Astyanax mexicanus: one gene and its partners. The protein of the gene in region 2 interacts with the protein of the main gene of each other region in a pairwise test. Links are inferred from orthologs where the notes say so. Each region holds a gene or a part of one and is shown on either strand. Other genes may lie near its edges.

Region 1 (7,120 bases), on a different chromosome or scaffold from region 2:
TGTTGTGTGGACAGACACTCACGGATGTAAAAACAGCAAATGGGTTTAAAGTTAGAAGGATCTGTAAAAATCAATGTCGGGCCAGGTCAAACAACAAAAGCAAAATCAAACACATGGACAAAACCAGTAAATATGAATAAAGAAGAAGAGAAAAACACAAAAGCCAAAAACAAATTACAAATAGCCAGACAGAGTTTACAAACACATAAACATAATCAAAGGGGTCAAAAGTGTTTACAATAATTACTCCGGTAGGAGTATAGATAAAAAAGGTTTAAAACTCAAAGTAACTTTTTTGGTTTCAAGTAACGTGTTTAGTTTCAAAGCTAAATGTAGCTAAAAGTACACTACCCCCCCCCCCCCCTTTTTTTTCTAAAAGCCACAGTGACAATACTGTTAAAATTAATAAAATGTAAATGTTGATAAAATTTTGGATGCACTATGCGTACCTGTTTCAGCCGCATATATTCCCATTGAAAATAAATGTATTTAAGAACATATGTTATGTAAATATATTAAAGAAGCTTAGTTGGACATTTTGCTCGCGTTCTCTTGAATCTCTGCACAGATCATCTTCATACTAGGCTTCATACGTCTGCTATGTTCTTGCTGGTGTGTGGGCCGTGACGTGTACAGGTGTGATGGATCACAGTATAAACCAATAGGGGGTCGGAATAGTATATGTTTATACTTCTCATCCAACCATTATCAGATTCATTTTATCTGGATTTTTTTTTTGGATGATGAGAAGCTGGAATGAAAACAAGCTGAAATGAAATACAAGTAACAAGGCTATTTTTAAAATGTAAGGAGTATAAAGTACAAATAATTGTGTGAAAATGTAAGGAGTAGAAGTAAGTTGTCTAAATAATCAATTACTCCAGTAAATAATACACTTGCAAGAAAAAATATGTGAACCCTTTGGGATTACTTGGGTTTCTTCTTCTTGTCATAGACAAACACAAACAATTATATGTTTGCATGTTTTTATTAAACACAACATAAGTATGTGAACCCCTAGGCTAATGACTTTTCTAAGAGCTAATTGGAGCTAGGATGTGATGAGATTGGATGTGTTAAAGCTGCCCTATAAAAACACACCAGTTTTGAGTTTGCTGTTCTTAAGAAGCATTGATTGATGTGAATCATGTCTCGCACAAAAAAGGTTGTGCACTGTTGCTACTCTCCCTAGGTGTGGTCGTCCTGTAAAGATGACTGCAAGAGCACAGCGCAGAATAATCAATGAGGTGAGGAAGAATCCTGGAGTGTCAGCTAAAGACATAGAAATCTGGCACATGCTATCATTTTTTTTTTTGACAAAACAAATCTACAATAAGTACAACATTAGACAAGATTGGACTTTATGGGAGGACACCACGGAAGAAGCCACTGCTGTCCAAAAAAAAAAACATTGCTGCACGTTTAAAGTTTGCAAAAGAGCATCTGGATGTTCCACAGCAGTACTGGTAAAATATACTGTGGATGGATGAAACCAAAACTGAGTTGTTTGAAAGGAACACACAATGCAATGTGTGAAGAAAAAAAGGCACAGCACACCATCATCAAAACCTTATCTCAACATTGAAATATGGTGGAGGGGGCATCATGGTTTGGGGCTGTTTTGCTGCATCAGGACCTGGACATATTGCTATCATCAACAAAAAAATAAATTCCCAAGTTAACCAAAACATTTAGCAGGAAAACTGTCCATCAACTGACCATCTGTCCACCAACTGAGGCTCAACAGAAGATGGATGATGCAACAGGACAACGACCCAAAACAGAAAATCAACAACCAAATGGCTTCAACAGAAGAAAATATGCCTTCTGGAGACAAAATGAGTGGTATTCTGGGTAATGCAGTCCAGAGAGTCAATATAAGAAATAGGTCCAGGAAAATATGCTCATATACATATATCCTCAAATAAAATCCAAATCTTAAGATGTGTTCTTAAATGCTTCTTAAAGTGTGCACTGAGTTCTGCTACTTGGCAGTAAAATAACTGATCCACTACTCCACGTTCTGTGGAATGTACACACAGTCCTTATTACAGACCATTTTAAGCTCTGTGATCATTTAATGCTGCACTGTCTTTTCAAGAGGGTCGGAGTGTGTTTACACTTTGTCCTTGTTTACATTTTTCCCTGCATGCTTTCATTATCCGTTTAACATCTATCACTCCAGTGCCTCTGTGACTAGTGTAGGAATGAAAGCAGGCTGAAGAAAACAGGAAAAATTGTTTGAAGGGAGGTTATTTGGAGGAAGCTGACAGGCCTTTGAATTTTAGATCTGCATGCCCGTCCAAAAGTGAAGAAATCCAGATCATATAGCAGCTCATTGTTTTATGATTGTGAGCTAATTAACCAAACTATTTTTTTTCCTTCTTTTTGTTAGAGTTACTGGTTTTATTATCGAGACCTGCATGAAGAAAAACAGTCATTCTGTTTTGTTATTCTGTGCTATCTGTCTCACCCTCATTTATCTTTGTGTACTGCAGAAAACATTGAAACATTAAAATAATTTCTATTTCTCTTCCATATCCAGTAAAACAACATAAATGTTTTGCAACCGTTGACTACAGATATCCTTACAAATGGAGAGGCTTTAGAGGAAGCTAGCACTTAGCACTTAGCACTCTTTGATGAAAGAAATTAGGTCCCACTTTATAATAAGTGTCCCTAAGTAGTATGTAATTACACGGTAACAATCCATGTAACTACAGTGTAACTACTGATGAAGTACACAATGATACAGATTAACTACAGAGGTACAGGTTATGTAATTACACATGTGTATTTAGGTTAATTTTGACTTGTGTAAGTACACATGTGTACCAGGGTGAGTGTACTTACACAAGTGATAGAGTAAGTGTACTTACACATGTGTAACAACGTGTGTGTACTTACACATGTGTAATAGTGTGTGTGTGATAAGTCAAGTATAAACTTATCCAACATCTATTGTCTAGTATGTAATTAGGGCTGATTGAGTACACACACGTTGTTACACATGTGTAATTGAATTCTAATTAAATACCCCTGGTTTAGATCAAAGAATATTCATGTGTTAGAATGGCCCAGTCTTAAATCACATTAAGCTTCTGTGGCAACACATGAAAACTGCTGTTTACAGATGCTCTCCATCCAATTTGGCTGAGCTTGAGCTGTTTTATAAAGAAGAATGGGCAAAAATCTCAGTCTCTAGATGCGTATATCTGGTAGAGACACACCCAAAAAGACTTGCAGCTGTAATTGCAGCGAATAGTGGGTCTACTAAATAGAGGGGGGGCTGAATACTTTTCACGTCCCACTTTTCAGATTTTTATTTGATAAAAAAATTAAAAACCATGAATCATTTTCATTACACTTCACAATTATGCAATGTTTTGTAATGGTCTATTATTTAAAATCTCGACAAAATACATTTAAGTTTGTGGTTGTAAGGTCACAAAATGAGGAAAAGTTTAAGGAATATGAATACTTTGGCAAGCCACTCTATAACTGGTCAGTAATAAACAAATACATTTAATGGGCTTAAATATAAGTTAGTCATTTAGATCACTTTTTTTTATTAGTGAAGAAATTGATTTAAACACATTTATATGATAAACACAAACCTAACATTTTTCAACATTTCCCTGATAAATGTAACAGTTTTCTGTTTCCCGTTATAAGGAGTAACACTACCAACACTCCCAAACAGGTTTTCCCAGTTATGATTCACACAGCTCTTTGTCTCTTGTTTCCACTGCATTCTCAATTACATATTTTTATCATATCATATTTTTATCACCTCACATTTAAATCTAGTGGTTGAAAAAAGGGAAAAAATAGCTAAAAAGAAGGCAGAACATTTGTGTGTGTGTGTGTGTGTGAACTGTGTGGGGGTGGGGTAAATTCTACTGTACTGGGCTGAGGAATTCTAAACCCTGTCAGAAACAATCAGAACAGTTCGATGAGCTTATTGTTGCATGAGGTCGCAACAGGCCCAGAAAACAGGCAGCGATTGGGCTGCAGCATGTGCTCATTCTGAGCTTTTTTTTTTTTTCATGTCACTCCTACTCCAACTCCAGAAAGCCTAACAAACCTCTCTCTCTCTCCATTGGATAAACAGAGTTCTAGCGGTGGCAGGAGGTGTGGTTGAAAACTAGCTCCACAAGATTTCCCAGCAGTCTGGACTGTATAACTGACACTGGCTGAGTTAAGGCAGACATTTTTACCTCTGGGAGTTCCTCTAAATCCAGGCTGGAGCTGGGAATGCCTCGCTACGATCCTGATTGCTACAAATTGACTTTAAGTAAAGTTACTTTTACTATTTTTTGAAGATATCCAAGGTGGCATAGAAGTGTGGGCTGAAATCCAGGGCAGCTCATGATGATGCAGCATGATTCAGTTCTCCAGGACCTGAGGGATAAGAGGTAAAATCTTTGTTTATTTCACAGGATTGATAGAGTAAATATCACAAATAAATATGCCTACAAAATATTCACAAATATGCATTGTTTTTTTGTTTGTACTGTAGTTCAATGCTATTTTTTTTTTTAGGAAAAAAACAAAATAAGGGATGTACAGTATGGTTTCTATATATTGTATGTAGAAATATTAGACATTTATAGTATGACACTATTATAAGGTGTGAATGTACTGCTTATTGTGCAGATTCTATATTAGTCAGTACTTCTCTTTTTGGTTTAAATTAGTAATTAAAGGTGCATACAGATATTCCATGATTATATAAAAGAATCAGACCACAATAAAGGAATATAAACGGAACAAACTGAATTAAAAGAATGAGATTATTTTCTGTCCTGATCTTTAACTACACTCTAAAAAACAGAGGTACGATATGAGTACTTTTTTGCACTCAAGGGTACACTCTTCATAATTGTACCCTCAAAGGTACAATATTGGTCTTTACAGGGTCAGATTTGTTCTCTCTGAAGTACAAAGTAATTTCTAACAGAAATAAGTACAAACTTGTACCATTTAACCTGCAGACAAAAGGTACATTCAGTATTCTGTATCACTGTACTAATAAACAATATATATTTAAACTGCACATTTTTATTTGAAAGCCAGATTTTGGATCATCAAGTTTTTGAGCCATATTTAGTTGATGATAATGTTTATAATATTTACTGGCACAAAAACCATGGGTACAAAAAAGGACTTTCACTGAAAGGTACTTTTTTGTACTTCAATATAAGGTACAGCCCCAGTGACAAGCTTTGTACTCTTTTAAGTACAAATCTGTACTTACTTTTCTTAGTGTGTAAGCAGGATTTGATATTGGCACACACTAAGAAAAGTAAGTACAGATTTGTACTTAAAAGAGTACAAAGCTTTTCGCTGGGGCTGTACCTTAGGTACAAAAAAGTACCTTTCAGTGAAAGACCTTTTTGTACCCATATTTTTGTGCCAGTAAAGATTATAAAGATTGTAAACATTATCATCAACTGAATATGTGTCAAGAACTTGATGACCCAAAATTGTCTGGCTTTCAAATGAAAAATGTGCATTTAAAATATATATTGTTTATTAGTACAGTGATACAGAATACAGATTGTACCTTTTGGCTGGTTAAATGGTACAAATCTGTACTTATTGCTGTTAGAAAAGACTTTGTACTTCAAAGGGAACAAATCTGACCCTGTAAAGACCAATATTGTACCATTATGGGTACAATTATAAAGAATATACCTTTGAGTACAAAAAAGTACTCGTATCGTACCTCTGTTTTTTAGAGTGCAGCTTATATACTGAAACAATACTGTTGACTAGTTTAACCATCCATGCTCTGATATAAGAAATTACTGCCATTATAACTTTTATTAAATGTATCTAAACTAAATTCACATGAATCCTAAAAGTCTGTCCTTACACAGAGAAACCAGCCCACGGTTGAGATATAGTATGTCAACACTATGAGACTTTGTATAAACATGGGCAGAGGATCCTCCCGTGAGGCATAGAAGTGAAAAGAGAGCAAGTCATGAGGTACCAGACCATTTACAATTATTAACTACAGACTTTAAACATAGTTTTTTGTAAGGCTGGACAATATAGCAATATTTTATTGTGTTATTGCAATAAATCTTGTTATTCCATACACAAACTACTTTTCTCAGCATGCTGTGGATATCATCAGTCTAATATGTCAACAGGAATTGTATTATAATAGCAATTTGTAAGAATTTATTGAAAGTAAATTCTGTATCATACAAATGTTAAATCTTTATATATTGTGATTATTATATTTTTCCCATATGAATCATTCTTGTTTGTTGATGTTTGTTGTAAATCAGAACAGAACCATGTGAACTGAATGCGAACAGATTTAGTGAGGAGGTAGAATAACTTTTCTTGGCTATGTGACACTGCCTCAGGAGGCCTCTCACCCAGAACCAGAGTGAACAAAGCCCACTCTTATATTTATAAGCTCTACCTCTAAGGGGATTGGGTGGGCCACACACACACACATCCACTCACGCATACAAGGTATTTTTAGTCTTTCCTCCTTGAAATCCATCTAGCAATTTGATAGCTCCGATTTGCACTACTCTGTTAAATTTCACTTTCTCTGTATTCTGCACTACAACAAACAGCTCTGGAAAAAAAATAAGTTTCTTTGATTTTACCAAATTAAAAACCTCTAGAATATAATCAAGAGGAAGATGGATGATCACAAGCCATCAGACCAAGCTTAACAGCTTGAATTTTTGCACCAGAAGTGACATAAAGTTATTCAAAAGCAGTGTGTAAGACTGGTGGAGGAGAACATGCCAAGATGCATGAAAGGTGTAATTAAAAACCAGGGTTATTCCACCAAATATTGATTTTTGAACTCTTAAAACTTTATGAATATGAACTTGTTTCTTTGCATCTTTTGAGAGGTATTTTATGTTTTTTCAGCCATTTCTCATTTTCTGCAAATAAATGCTCTAAATGACAATATTTTTATTTGACATTTGGGAGAAATGTTGTCTGTAGTTTATAGAATAAAACAACAATGTTAATTTTACTCATTTTAACATAAACCTATAAATAGCAAAATCAGAGAAACTGATTCAGAAACTAAAGTGGCCTCTTATTTTTTTTCCAGAGCTGTATCCTACACAAG
Region 2 (7,557 bases):
GCTAGCTAATACTGCCCTGGCTTACCAGAACACTCGGTGTTCCTCAGTGTAGCGCTGTCAGCCGGATTTACGAGCGCTAACTGAGGCAAGCCCTAGTGGTTAGCCACTAATGCTAATGCTGATGCACACATCCTTAGTGGAAATCTGGCTTACTATATATAAACGGAAGCGCTTATTGCCAAATAAACAGTTTTCAGGAGAGAAACCTGTGTAGATTAACATCCAATGCTCATTTTATTTTAATATATATATTTTTTAAGAATTACAGTTTTGTTTACTTAGCTTAGCTTTACTTAACTTAGTTACCCCCACTACCACCCTGCGGGGAGATCTGCTGAATTAGAAGGATACTAGTAATGATCTCGTAATTCACCTTTTAATCCGGTGCACCTTATAGTGCAAAAAATATGGTATATGCACTTCTTGGTGGCAAAACAGCTGCAATAAACTCATACTCTGTGAAAGTATAATAACTGTTATATAATAACTGAATAAAATGAATCATTCAAAGTATTATGTGTTCAGATCAGTGAAGAGCTGGAGAAAGTCAAACAGGAGATGGAGGAGAAGGGTAGCAGCATGTCAGATGGAGGTAAAACTACACACACATATAAAAGGATATTTTAAACTTTTTTTAGAAATAAAAAACTAAAAAAAAGTGAGGCGTGCAATATTTTTCGCCCCCTTTAATTTCAGTGCAGAAAACTCACTCCAGATGTTCAGTGAGGATCTCTGAATAATCCAATGTTGACCTAAATGACTGATTATTGTAAATAGAATTCACCTGTGTGTAATCAAGTCTCTGTATAAATGCATCTGCTCTGTGATAGTCTCAGAGTTCAGAGAGCATCATAAAGACCAAGGAACACACCAGGCAGGTCCGAGATACTGTTGTGGAGAAGTTTAAAGCTGAATTTGGATACAAAAAGATTTCCCAAGCTTTAAACTTCTCAAGGAACACTGTGCAAGTGATCATACTGAAATGGAAGGAGTATCAGACCACTGCAAATCTACCAAGACCCAGCATTCCCTCTAAACCAGGGGTATTTAATTAGAATTCAGTATGGTCCAGTTAGAGAAAATTTCGACAGGCCAAGGTCCGGACCGATTGTTAACTTGTGTTATGATTAAGTTAAATATCCTCTAAGGTTGTTTGAACTGAATGATGAAAAAATATATAATAATAATAATAATAATAATAATAATAATAATAATAATAATAAAATGCCTCTCTGGCCAGATTTTGTATACATTCCTCCCCTGTCTGTCTCTCTGTCGCGCTTGGCGTGACTTTAGTTTACGCCCGTTCTCGTTTTTCCGCCCATTCTCGGGCTCTCTATCTCCACATAAAGGCGGTTTTACGGCCGCGTCCCAATTCAACAGCCGGAGCAGCGGGACCGCAACCCTGACAACAAGGGTTTGATCCCGCGCGAGGAGCGGTGTGTTTATTTATTTATTTTTTCCTTACCGCGTCTGCACAGATCTGATTGACTGAAGAGAGCGTTTGGTGATCTTACCCCACACGTGATTGGTCTGTGATTTACTGTGCCGCAAAGCGTGTATACAATTAAATCCTTCTCAGTAGGTTTCTCCGCAATGGACAACGTTTGGGTCCAGAACACGGTCCACCCAATAGTGACCTCTGCTCTAAACTTTCAGCTCAGACAAGGAGAAGACTGATCAGATATGCAGCCAAGAGGCCATGTTCAGATATCCATAAAAAATCTAGTTTAAAGTTTGCCACCAGCCACCTGGGAGACACACCAAACATGTGGAAGAAAGTGTTCTGGGCAGATGAAATCAAAATTGAACTTTTTGGCCACAAGGCAAAAAACGTTATGTTTGATGTAAAAGTAACACAGCTCATCAACCTGAACACACCATCCCCACTGTCAAACATGGTGGTGGCAGCATCATGGTTTGGGCCTGCTTTTCTTCAGCAGGGTCAGGGAAGATGGTTAAAATTGATGGGAAGATGGATGTAGCCGAATACAGGACCATTCTGGAAGAAAACCTGTTGGAGTCTGCAGAAGACCTGAGACTGGGAAGGAGATTTATCTTCCAACAAGACAATGATCCAAAACATAAAGCAAAATCTACAATGGAACAGTAACCCGTTGTTAAAATGGCCAAGTCAAAGTCCAGACCTGAATCTAATCGAGAATCTGTGAAAAGAGCTGAAAACTGCTGTTCACAAACCAACGCTCTCCATTCAACCTCACTGAGCTCCAGCTGTTTTAAGAAGAAAAATGGGCAAAAATTTCAGTCTCTCGATGTGCGAAACTGATACATACCCCAGAGACATACCCCAAACCACTTGCAGCTGTAATCACAGCAAAAGGTGGCGCTACAAAGTATTTTAATGCAAGGGGGCGGAATAATATTGCACGCCCCACTTTTCAGTTTTTTTATTTCTAAAAAAAGTTTAAAATGTCCAATAAATTTTGTTCCACTTCACGATTGTGTCCCACTTGTTGTTGATTCTTCACAAAAAATTTCATTTTCAATGAAATTTCAATTTTACAATTTCATATCTTCATATTTGAAGCCTGAAATGTGGCAAAGGGTTGAAAAGTTCTAGGGGGCCGAATACTTATGCAAGGCACTGTATATACATACAAAAAACATACTTACAAATAGTATTTTTTTTAAAAGCCCTTTAAAAATTTAAAACATTGTTTTATTGTTTTATTTACTGTTTATGGTGATACACAGTGGCACGAACATCCTGCAGCAGTGGGTGCAGACGCTCAATGAATCACAACATTGTTCAATTCTTCAGTGCTACACAGCGCACCATGCAGTATTGTTTTCATTAACAATTGTAATTAAAAAATAAAACTATACCATAGAAATTTATATGACTTGTGAAATAAACATAAAATGTAAAAAGATCGTCTCTGGCGTTGTGGGTGATAAATAAGGAGAAGCTGATAATAAACATCTTCTGTGTAAAGGAATAGTCTACTACGGGGCTCTCACTTCTGTGCTTCATTGCTGGGATGTTTGATTGAGGTGGCACTGATGTTTTGTTTGTTTTCAGCCCCGGTGGTGAAGATCCGTCAGAGCCTGACGAAGCTGAAGCAGGAGATCCAGCAGATGGATGTGAGAATGGGAGTGGTGGAACACACGCTGCTGCAGGCCAAGCTAAAAGAAAAGAACAACATGACGAGAGACATGCATGCTACACACATTACAGAGACCAGCACACACACCTACTCATAATGTCTCTTACACACACACAACCTGTATAAAATATATCTATTTATATATGACCTATATATATTGCTGTAAATGTCCTTGTCTTTATAACTTTTATAATAAACATCTAATTTCATGTATATAAAACGTGTACGTTTTATTCATGAAAAGTGAGTGAGTCACTGAAAACTATGTTTCTGTATAATGTTAAAGAATGTAGAGTAAAACATATATATAATATATATATATATAATTTATAATAATAATAATAAAAATAATGTATTTTTAACAGGTTGTTGAACACTTATCTTTACCTACAAAACTGAATTCATTCAATGACTATTTTAGAGTCAGAGACAGCTCCCTTGTCAGCAGCTTAGCTGTGCCCTGTATTTACACAATTATGTGCACTGTAATGTTCACTGTACAATTGGTGGCCACTGTTCCATCTTTGTCCAACACAAATAAGGTAAATCTGGTTATCTTGTCTACATTACTTTCCTGTAAATTTGATTGTTTCATCCTGGTTATCTTATCTGCAGATTGTACACAGTGTAATCACAATTGAGTGTCTGACCTGACAGACTGACAAACAACAACTTTTTCTGAATGAGAAGTGAAAACAGGGTCACAATGGGGCAACTGGTGGTATTTTTATGTAGTTGGTTTCGTGTCTCAGGTGGTTTCTGCGGCATTGAGTGGAGTGGTGGCAACTTTATTTATGTAACACCATTCATACTTAAAAAAGCATCACAATGCTTCAAAATAAACTTAAATAAAAAATGTAAACAAAACCCCAAAGCTCCCAAAAATATCCCCCCCCCCCCAAAATAAAATTCATGCCATAGACAGTGTGCAGTCAATTGTATGTATTTCAGCATTAACCCTTTAAGACCTGAATTATGTTCCAGTGCTAAAAACATATGAGAGAGATGTTTTCAACAGATGACTCTAATGTTTTGATATTTAATATATAGAAAAAAATTATCTAATGAACTAAAATACATAACTGCTTTTTTAATGTTCATGGCATTGGAATCACATGTTCAACCTTTTCTTTCTTTAACCTTTTTGTTTTAAAACCATCAACGGTAAAATAAAAATAATTAATAATAAGTATACTTTTAATCTTGGTCTCATCCGACAAAACACACGGTCCCAGTTATAATCCCAGTACCGCTTAGCCAACTCCATGTAAAAAATACATTTATTTTAAGGCTTTTTACACATTTTAACTAGGGATGCCAATAATTTGAGGGCTGTATATTCTTATTGACAACAAATCTCATAAAAGTCCAGTGTAGTGCACGCAGGGTCTCAAATGGTTAAGTGTAAAACGCGTTACTCGCCGCCTTCTGGGTTTTTTGGATGTTGCGCTTGCCGTACAATGTCAAGTATGTTGTCAAAGTTGGATTAGGAGGTAGAGCGACGGAAATAAGGGCTTTTTAACCGTGAAACAGGTGAGTTTTCCCTGCATTTTGAGTGTGTTTAAAGTGTACTGGTTTAAACTCGCATATTTTGTGATATTTAACTGGGAGAGCAGGCTAATATTCACCCTGTAGCTCTCAGGCTAGTGCAACTGTAGCCGTTAGCCCGCTAAGCTAACTGGTAAAGGCAGTTAGCTGTGGGAGTAGCGGGGCTAGCCCAGCCCGTGTCGCAGTGTCCGACCTGTTACTGGAGCCGGAGGGAGAAACGGTTTACTGTAACGTTAAACACACTAACACAGTGACACAGTGAGCTGTTTTACTTTAGTTCACAATTTTTTTCCAGTCGCTTAATTGCTTTAATCCAATCTGCACTTACCTTTTCAAAATTTTATATACATTTAACCCAACATCTGTTGTGGACTATACTATTCACACAATTCATGTTGCTAGCACGCAATATGCATTCAGTTTTAAACATGCTTACATTTTATTAACAAACAGAATTCCCCACATGAGAGAAAGAGAAAGAAGAGAGGAAGAAAAATATCTGGACAGGGAAATTTATAGTTAGTTTACATTTACATTGTAAATGAATGTATTTTAGTACAATATAAATATATTAAAGAAGCTTAGTTGTTCTGGAGTTTGTCTGGAGTTGTCTTGAGTCTGAATGATATATGATTATACTTCTCACCCAACCACAATCAGATTCACTCTATCTGGATGGAGAGATTTATCTGGAAAGGGTTTTTTGAACTTTGAGAAAACCCAGGCTTGAGTAAAAGTGCTCGATCAAAAAAGTGACTTAAGTAGAAGTTAAAGTGTTTTTTGATCACCACACTTAAGTGAAAGTACTAAAGTATTCAACATTTCTGAGCATTTTTAATACAGAGATTACAAATTAGGCAGATAAAAAAAAATAAAGTGCTAAAATAGTGTTTAAAAAACAAAACAGTTAATCTATTGAATTCAGAGTGCTTTAAAAAAAATCATTACAGACAATAATAAATAAAATAAATTAAATATGAAAGCAAAGTTTTCTCCTGCTAGATTTCATGAATTATTAACATCCGTTTAGGGTCTTTAGAAAATATGACAGAAATTGTTCTATTTTAGAATGCAAAAAAAAAAAAAAACTAGTGTCATTTGTGTGTGAGGGAATAATTTTAGCCAATGTAAACTAAAGTTGTTCAGTTTGTGAAAAACAACAGTGATTGTCATTATAAAAGATTATATGTATTGATGCACAGAATCAAGCCAGACAGAAAAACGAACCGGTGTGCCGCCCAGCGGTCTGCCCAGCGCCAGGTGAAGCAGAACAAGCCTGTTATATTGTGATGTATTGGCTGTTGACGGTCATGTGTGTTTGCTATGCATAACATCACAAAGCTATTTTTAAGGCTTTATTCCTGTGATCTGTGCTGTGGAAGTACATCACTTTGTGTACTAGCACATTATCGTGATGCTAGCGTTAGCATTATCTATCTTTAAAGATGGTAAATCAGCCCAACGCACAACATAAACATTAAAAAAAAAAAAGCAAGAGGATATGAGGTAAAATTAGGCTGACTGCAGAACATCCTTGACCACAGAATACCTTCAGCTTGGCTCTTAACACAAATAGAACCTCACTGTTATGTCACTTGTCAGTGCCTGATCGTGCTACTGTAAACAAGCCAAGGTGATGTGATGTGATTGATTTAAATAAAATTGTAGGTAGTATCGAATACACACTTTCATTTAAAACACTACTATTTAGTAAGTGGGGTTTCAACACACAGCTTAGTAACTACTGTCTGACAGCAATCTTCACATGTAAACTAATATTTAACCCAAGAGTTAACATACCCTGTCATAGACCCAGTATTTTAACCCCAATATATTTACAGTCATATTCCCACAATTAAGAACAAGTAAACATGAATGAGCTGTATATATGATTATGAAACCTCACTCAACAACCAACTTTTACAGGTGCTAAATTTGTCATACAGTCATATGAAAAAGTTTGGGACCCCATATTAATCATAATCATTTTTAGTTGTAAATATTTGGGTGTTTGTAACAGCCATTTCAGTTTGATATATCTAATAACTGATGGACACAGTAATAGTTCAGAATTGAAATAAGGTTTATTGCACTGAACAGAAAATGTGCAATATGCATTAAACCAAAATTTGACCGTGCAAAAGTATGGGCACCCTTATCATTTTATTGATTTGAATACTCAGACATCCGAAGCTGCAAAAGTTGATTTCAGGGAGGTTAATCACCTGACAGTAGCAGTAGAACATTCATGTGTAGGATGTTGCATCACTGCTATTCAAAAGTTAGTCGACAGAGCAAAATTAAGGAACCCTAAGTGTTGCGGTAAGGGCAATATTAGCTAGCGGTTCTCCAGCAGTGCTAGCTTGGGTTAGCATCAGGCTGCAGGTGGTTAATGCTCACCTCTAAACGGCAAAGTGGCTAGTGCTTAGCACGGGTAGCGGCTAATGCTTATGCTGCTCCAGCAGGGCTAGCCAGGGTTAGCAGCAGGCTACAGGCCGATAATACTCACCTCTGTTAACGGCTAATACTGGTGGAGAACTAAAATTAAACTCCTGTATAACTCTGTTTTTCAGCGAAGTGGCTTTACTGCTCCTTAATACCTGACTGGTAGAATTCATACATAAAGCGCACCAGATTAAAAGGTGCACTAGTAATTTTTAGGAAAATTGAAGGATTTTATGAGCACCTTGCGTAAAATGTAAAATATTTAAGAGCCATTCATTTCTCTGACTGGACTGCACAACTGACTGACTGGACAACTTTGTATTAATTTAAGAAATACTTGCTTTGTTGTGGAGTTCCAAAGGTCATGTAATTCATCTTAAGGTTCAAAAATAAAATTCAGTGTTTAAAAAAATGTTAATTGTTTTGCTTTTTAATA
Region 3 (7,680 bases), on a different chromosome or scaffold from region 2:
GCACGGAGTTCAGAGAAAAACAGTGGATAAATCAGCCTGTAATTTTCTCAGAGGAAAAACACGTACATGATCGTTCTGGACAGGAATAAAATCACAGAGGACCCACATAAAAGAGAAAAATATCCCAGAACCCCCTGAGAAACTAATCCCGTCCGGAAATGGCTTATCTCGTATTGCGCTTCTGTCCTAACCACTTTGTGTAATGCAGTACTTATACGAATTAACGATTAATCTATAATGAAATTTGTAATTGATTTAAATTTAAATAATCAACATTTTGTCAATTGTATCGACTAATCGTTGCAGCCCTATTTCCGATCCAGTGGCAACTGAGTGGAAGAACAAGTAAAGGTGTTTCTAATAAAGCAACCACAGCGAGGTTATTGCACAACCTGAGTATAGATTTTTTGCCAATAGCAAGAAAAACTGGTTAGTGTTGCAGAGCGAACCACAGATTAGCCTAAAAGCATTTCTATTTACAACTATCTATTGTCACCTGTTGCTGACACAGGTGTTCAAATGCACAAACACAGCTTGTCTAAGTTCCTGTAGAAGAGAAGTACTGCAAACAGACAAACAAAACCCATGTCTAACGCGAGACGTGAGATACTAGGGGTATAAAGTCCCCAGTATTGTGGACAACTAGTATAGGATGAGTTGAGGAAGTGGGGGATGTATGAGGTGGGGTTGGTGATCATCATCCAACATCCTGACCTTACATTCCTGACATTCATTTCAATCAAATCCTCACAGCAATGTTCTAAAATATTTACTAGAAAGTCTTCTCTGAACAGTAGAGACTATAAACTCTTTAATACTCTTGTTTTCAAAAGAAAAAATATGCAGAAAAAACAATGAACTTTCACCCATATAGTGACTCTTCTTCCAACGTTAGACCTTAAAACCAGCTGGTGTTTCCACTAAAGTGGCCACTGACAATACAGTAGGTATGGTGTTTCTAATAAAGTGGCCTCTGACAATATAGTAGGTATGGTGTTTCTAATAAAGTGGCCACCAACAAGACAGTGTGTAGAGTGTTTCTAATAAAGTGGCCACTGACAGGATAGCAGGTAGACGAGTACGGCGGGGTGTTTCTAATAAAGTGGCCCCTGACAAGATAGTAGGTAGATGGGTTTGGTGAGGTGTTTCCAATAAAGTGGCCAGTGTGAGCTAATCGCGAAAACACAGAATATTAGCCTGTTAGCAGTGGGTTAGCCGGCAGGCTAACAACAACAGGTTGTGTTTTAGAGATTAATGTATCTCTAAAGCAAATAAAAAGCCAGGATATTAAAAACAGTCGCCTAATTATCACATTAATCGATTTAACTTGGTCAATATCGCGTTAAAACCTCGTAAGTGCCTCTCCGGATCCCCGGGTGAGTGCCAGTGTTAGCCTGTTAGCTCGTTAGCCGCGGCGCTAGTGGAAGTCTATGGGAAGTGTTAGCCTGTTAGCTCGTTAGCCGCGGCGCTAGTGGAAGTCTATGGGAAGTGTTAGCCTGTTAGCTCGTTAGCCGCGGCGCTAGTGGAAGTCTATGGGAAGTGTTAACGCGGGGGGACCGCGGGGTTATGTTCTGGATGTTTCTGAGCGCGGGGTGTGTGTGAGGGGTGTGAGGGAGTGTGGGGGGTGAGAGCGGCGGCTGGCAGCGGTACCGCGGCTGGGAGCCGGACCGGGCCGGGCTGAAGCGGGTCGGGGAGCGGGGTTATAAAAACTCACCAGCGGCGCTTTTTCCCTCAGCATCTTCCGCCGAACCGCCGCCGCTCCGGGGGAGGAGTCTGGAGGAAGGGGAGGAGCCTGTGTGTGTGTGTGTGTGTGTGTGTGAAAGTGAGTGTGTTAATGTGTGTGAGTGTGTGAGTGTGTGTGTGAAAGAGAGAGAGAGAGAGTGTGAGTGAGTGTGTGTGTGTGTGAAAGAGAGAGAGAGAGAGTGTGAGTGAGTGTGTGTGTGTGTGTGAAAGAGAGATAGAGTGTTTGTGTGTGTGTGAGTGTGTGAGTGTGTGTGAAAGAGAGATAGAGTGTTTGTGTGTGTGTGAGTGTGTGAGTGTGTGTGAAAGAGAGATAGAGTGTTTGTGTGTGTGTGTGTGTGTGAAAGAGAGAGTGTGTGTATGAGTGAGTGTGTGTGTGATAGAGAGAGAGAGTGTGAGTGAGTGAGTGAGTGAGTGTGTGTGTGAAAGAGAGAGAGAGTGTTTGTGTGTGTGTGTGTGAAAGAGAGAGAGAGAGAGAGTGTGTGTGTGTGTGTGTGTGTGTGAAAGAGAGAGAGTGTGAGTGAGTGAGTGAGTGAGTGTGTGTGTGAAAGAGAGAGAGAGTGTTTGTGTGTGTGTGTGTGAAAGAGAGAGAGAGAGAGAGTGTGTGTGTGTGTGTGTGTGTGTGAAAGAGAGAGAGTGTGAGTGAGTGAGTGAGTGAGTGTGTGTGTGAAAGAGAGAGAGAGTGTTTGTGTGTGTGTGTGTGAAAGAGAGAGAGAGAGAGAGTGTGTGTGTGTGTGTGTGTGTGTGAAAGAGAGAGAGTGTGAGTGAGTGAGTGAGTGAGTGTGTGTGTGTGAAAGAGAGAGAGAGAGAGTGTGTGTGTGTGTGTGAAAGAGAGAGAGAGAGTGTGAGTGAGTGAGTGAGTGAGTGAGTGAGTGTGTGTGTGAAAGAGAGAGAGAGAGAGTGTGAGTGAGTGAGTGAGTGAGTGTGTGTGTGAAAGAGAGAGAGAGAGTGTTTGTGTGTGTGTGTGAAAGAGAGAGAGAGAGAGTGTGTGTGTGTGTGTGAAAGAGAGAGAGAGAGAGTGTGTGTGTGTGTGTGAAAGAGAGAGAGAGAGTGTGAGTGAGTGAGTGAGTGAGTGAGTGTGTGTGTGAAAGAGAGAGAGAGAGAGTGTGAGTGAGTGAGTGAGTGAGTGTGTGTGAAAGAGAGAGAGTGTGAGTGAGTGAGTGAGTGAGTGAGTGAGTGTGTGTGTGAAAGAGAGAGAGAGAGAGTGTGAGTGAGTGAGTGAGTGAGTGAGTGTGTGTGTGAAAGAGAGAGAGAGTGTGAGTGAGTGAGTGAGTGAGTGAGTGTGTGTGTGAAAGAGAGAGAGAGAGAGTGTGAGTGAGTGAGTGAGTGAGTGTGTGTGAAAGAGAGAGTGTGTGAGTGAGTGAGTGAGTGAGTGAGTGAGTGTGTGTGTGAAAGAGAGAGAGAGAGAGTGTGAGTGAGTGAGTGAGTGAGTGAGTGTGTGTGTGAAAGAGAGAGAGAGTGTGAGTGAGTGAGTGAGTGAGTGAGTGTGTGTGTGAAAGAGAGAGAGAGAGAGTGTGAGTGAGTGAGTGAGTGAGTGTGTGTGAAAGAGAGAGTGTGTGAGTGAGTGAGTGAGTGAGTGAGTGTGTGTGTGAAAGAGAGAGAGTGTGAGTGAGTGAGTGAGTGAGTGAGTGAGTGTGTGTGTGAAAGAGAGAGAGAGAGAGTGTGAGTGAGTGAGTGAGTGAGTGAGTGTGTGTGTGAAAGAGAGAGAGAGTGTGAGTGAGTGAGTGAGTGAGTGAGTGTGTGTGTGAAAGAGAGAGAGAGAGAGTGTGAGTGAGTGAGTGAGTGAGTGTGTGTGTGAAAGAGAGAGAGAGAGAGTGTGAGTGAGTGAGTGAGTGAGTGAGTGAGTGTGTGTGTGAAAGAGAGAGAGAGAGTGTGTGTGTGTGTGTGAAAGAGAGAGAGAGAGAGTGTGAGTGAGTGAGTGAGTGAGTGAGTGTGTGTGTGAAAGAGAGAGAGAGAGAGAGTGTTTGTGTGTGTGTGTGTATGAGTATGTGTATGTGTATGTGTGTATGTGTATGTGTGTGTGTGTGTGTGTGTGTGTGTATGTGTATGTGTGTGTAAAAATGAGAGTGTGTGTGTGTGTGAGTGAAAGTGCGTGTTAATCACTTTTATTCATTTAATTTATTTTTTTTATCTAATTGTTAATTAACTGATTCATATCTCTATTTCTGTTTGTTTTAAGATTATTTTTACCATTTTTTAAGCGTCAATATATTGGGTATTATTTATAGTTGTATTATTTGTATTATTATTGTATTATTCTTTTCTATTATTATTATTATTAGTAGTAGTAGTAGTAATTTCTATATAAAAAGAGACCTGTCCTGTTTTTAATTTGCCATTTTAAGTATGAATAAATATAAAACAGACACCTACATAAACACTTTATTTTTTCTTAAAGTATTTTTTTATGTATTTAGTTGAGTAGATGTTGCTTCTCATAATCTGGATTAGAACATTACTCAAATATTCACTATTCACTGTATACCTGTAACTCTACCTCTTCACTACTTTACTTTAACTGATGCTCTCAAACACTTTGAGATGAGTTCAGCACAGCTGTTAACTGAAAGCCTGAATTCCAGGTAAAATCCAGCAGAGATGTGCAAAACTGATTATCTAAGAATGTAATATATTATTATATTCTGGGTTGTTTAACATTTTTTTGGTTTAGTAAATAATTCCAGATGTTTTTTTTTTATTATAGTTTGTAAAATAATGATAAAACACTGCATTTAAGGTGGGTCCAAACGTTTGACCTTTAAACCCTGGTGTAAATTTTGAATGATGCGCTGGCGCCCCCTACAGGAACAGTTCCACACTGCAGGCGAGCCCGGTTACCACTGACTACCCCATATACAAACAAACAGAGAGGAGAGCTCAGAAACTTCAGCAGCTCATATATATTACAGATATATTACATGTATTTCACTATATCTGCTTTATTACAGCTTTTATTACAGATAACTCGCTATATTAAACACAGTCAGTTAATTTAATGTATATAAATATCAACAGAAATTAGTTCAGCTCTGTCCACACTGAAGAAACACAGGAGAGCTCCTCTAATACCTGCAGAGGATCAGCACAGGTGAGCTTTACCTCATTTATACAGGTGTATCTTATCACAACAAACATTTTATTGAAAATAAAATGATTTATTCTCTTTCTGTAGCAGTGAGAGGCTCATCTACAAGGAGGAAACCCACACAGGTAGGCACTAAACCCTAAATCATATTTCTATTTTTATTTATATTTGAAATACTTTCCTTTGAAGTAATAAAACATACCAGTCCTGTTTAAAAAATAACCGAAACATTTCCTAACCTTTAAAAAAAAAAACTCTTTTATTCTGGTCATTTCCGCCTCTGCTGCGCCCCCTTTGGGTTCAGCTGTGCTATAGGCGAAGATGATGTGTCCGTGTATTTTAATACACGAATACTTACAATATGCAAATCAGTCAACCAATAATACTGCCCCCACTGACATCCAATCATCTACGTCTTACAGCTATTAGAGGCACACTACTGCTGCTGCAGCTCAGCCAATGAGCTCTCCCTCCTGCTAAACCCATACATCACTCAGTGCCCCTCCCAAACTCCTCCTCCTTCCATTTTGTTTAGCTTTTTTTATTTGAGCTGAGGGTGGATTCAGCTAAAATCAGACCAAAATCATTACATTTCTCACCCATGACTTTTTTTTTATCCCATTTTCTCACCAATTTACAAGGCCAAGGATCACTAGTGATCCCCCAACACCAGGAAGGTGAAGACTAGAAGTCAGACTCTCTCTTATGGGGTCAAAATCGGGTCAAAAGTTTTGAGAACCAAAAGTATAATCCATAACTAAAAATAATGAAATAAAAAAGGACAATAATTGATATTATAAATTTTAAAATCATGTTTGTAAACAGAATATTTAATACTCTTTATTAAATAGAGAGTTTAATATTGCATTTTGTGTTTTACCCTTTTCTGACTAGTCCCCACCCACCTGTAAAAACAGGATCAAAACTAAACCAAAAACAAAACCAAGAAAAAAAAATACTAAAAGCAAAGAGATATACTAAAAATACTGCTTCTCAAAACTTTTGACCCTACTTTGACACCATACTCTCTTTTTGAACTGCTGCTGATGCAGCATTACTGAGAAGCATCACAGCGCTAACGCTCGGAGAAAAGCGCAGCGACTCGGTTCTGATACATCAGCTCACAGATGCAGCCTTGTGCTGATCCACATCACCCAACATCAAGTATCAAAAGTGTCCAGGAGTGCAAATGTACAGGATGTTCAGTAAAGTGTCAAAAGCTGGTTTCTGGCAACCTCAGGGGTGGAGTTAGTGTTGGGAACGAGCAGCAGGCGGAGTCAGAGGCCACACCCACACAGATTTCTGTGACGTACTGCACAGTTCTAGTTATAAATGACTGGCTTTAGCCCTGCTGACAACAAAAGACAGTATTTGAACTTTGCATGTTTCCTTAAAACCTTAAGATCCTTAATATCCACCATGATAGCTACCATTAACTACTGAAAATAGAAACCTTATATGTAACCTTAATATGTAAAAATTAGCTGCACCGGTCCTCATACCTAAAGCAGCCCATATTATAACTTCACTGAGAGATGGGGATACATATATGGATATACAACTCTGGAAATTTAGAGCATTTATTTACAGAAAATGAGAAATGTCTGAAATAACAAAAAAAGATGCAGAGCTTTCAGACCTCAAATAATGCAAAGAAAACAAGTTCATATTCATAAAGTTGTAAGAGTTCAGAAATCAATATTTGTTGGAATAACCCTGGTTTTTAATCACAGTTTTTTTTTTTTCATGCATCTTGGCATCATGTTCTCCTCCACCAGTCTTACACACTGCTTTTGGATAACTTTATGCTGCTTTACTCCTGGTGTAAAAATTCAAGCAGTTCAGTTTGGTGGTTTGATGGCTTGTGATCATCCATCTTCCTCTTGATTATATTCCAGAGGATTTTAATTTGGTAAAATCAAAGAAACTGTAATGTTGTAGATATTTGGACCATTTTCCTGTAGAAATGTGAACACGTCAATAATTTGAGATGATATTTAAGTGGATGATGTTTGTGTTTGGATGGATTAGATGAAGCTCTGCTGCTTGGAGAGCTTTTTCCTCAGGATCAGCCAAAGCCAGAAACCACGGGGAACCTTACATCACTGAGGTCAAAGGTAAAGGTCATGCAGCGAAGGAGCCCTAAAGAAGGTGAGCTGAAACGTTAGCATTGCTGCTGATTTAAAGGTCCTGGATTCTCTGGAATGTGCTTGCGCAACTTCTCACACAGGAACCAGGATTTATAAGAAATACTTGCCAAGAGATCAAGAGTATATTTACGCATGGTTTGAGGCATGAGTACTCCTACAAAATATTGCGGAAAGAGAGGGGGAATTAGCAGAACCATGTGGTTAAAGAGACTATTGTATTATTTTTACACTAGCTTATTTATTTCGTATTATCTTGCACTTAAAACCTTTTTTTGAAAAGGTCCTATATATAAAAAAAAGATTATTATTAGTTCACTGTAAAAAAAAGCAAAACTTAAAAAATTCTCCTTAATGTGATTCAGCTGAACCAAAAATATTGAATTGCACTGTAAACTATAGAAAACGAATTACCTAAACCAACTTTATTAAATTTCTTGTTAAAAGTAGATCTGAATAAATAATCTGTTTTGATAGAATTTACAAATTGCAGTTGAACCCTAGTTGAGGTCAAGCCAACTACTTTGCATTACTGCACTACTGCACATGCTCAGTTCGACTCTTTAGGTGAACGGGGTCTACAGAGCAATTCTGCAGGGGTTTTCACCTGGATGTTGGTCACACTATTTGCACATTGGGCGTGTCCTACCATCTCTCACACATCATCAGTGTGTAGTCATTCCCCACGGACTGCCTTGTCCTGGAATT

The links.
Region 1: the proteins of prkab2 (region 2) and stx19 interact in binary tests that used the Homo sapiens proteins (3 or more experiments, as listed by UniProt). The link is inferred for Astyanax mexicanus from reciprocal best matches to the Homo sapiens genes PRKAB2 and STX19.
Region 3: the proteins of prkab2 (region 2) and UBX domain-containing protein 11-like interact in binary tests that used the Homo sapiens proteins (3 or more experiments, as listed by UniProt). The link is inferred for Astyanax mexicanus from reciprocal best matches to the Homo sapiens genes PRKAB2 and UBXN11.

Annotation. Positions count from the first base shown.
Region 1 is NC_064418.1:27,583,409-27,590,528, reverse strand, and holds the start of stx19 (syntaxin-19), read left to right. Parts: upstream 1-4,117; 5' UTR 4,118-4,418; intron 4,419-7,120. UniProt on the Homo sapiens protein: Plays a role in endosomal trafficking of the epidermal growth factor receptor (EGFR).
Region 2 is NC_064411.1:27,924,569-27,932,125, reverse strand, and holds the start of prkab2 (5'-AMP-activated protein kinase subunit beta-2), read left to right. Parts: upstream 1-4,553; 5' UTR 4,554-4,661; intron 4,662-7,557. Other genes in the region: ift57 (intraflagellar transport protein 57 homolog), read left to right, coding at 526-592, 3,044-3,225. UniProt on the Homo sapiens protein: Non-catalytic subunit of AMP-activated protein kinase (AMPK), an energy sensor protein kinase that plays a key role in regulating cellular energy metabolism.
Region 3 is NC_064408.1:128,134,039-128,141,718, forward strand, and holds the start of UBX domain-containing protein 11-like, read left to right. Parts: upstream 1-4,677; 5' UTR 4,678-4,828; intron 4,829-4,912; 5' UTR 4,913-4,950; intron 4,951-6,856; 5' UTR 6,857-6,951; coding exon 6,952-6,976; intron 6,977-7,680. UniProt on the Homo sapiens protein: May be involved in the reorganization of actin cytoskeleton mediated by RND1, RND2 and RND3. Promotes RHOA activation mediated by GNA12 and GNA13.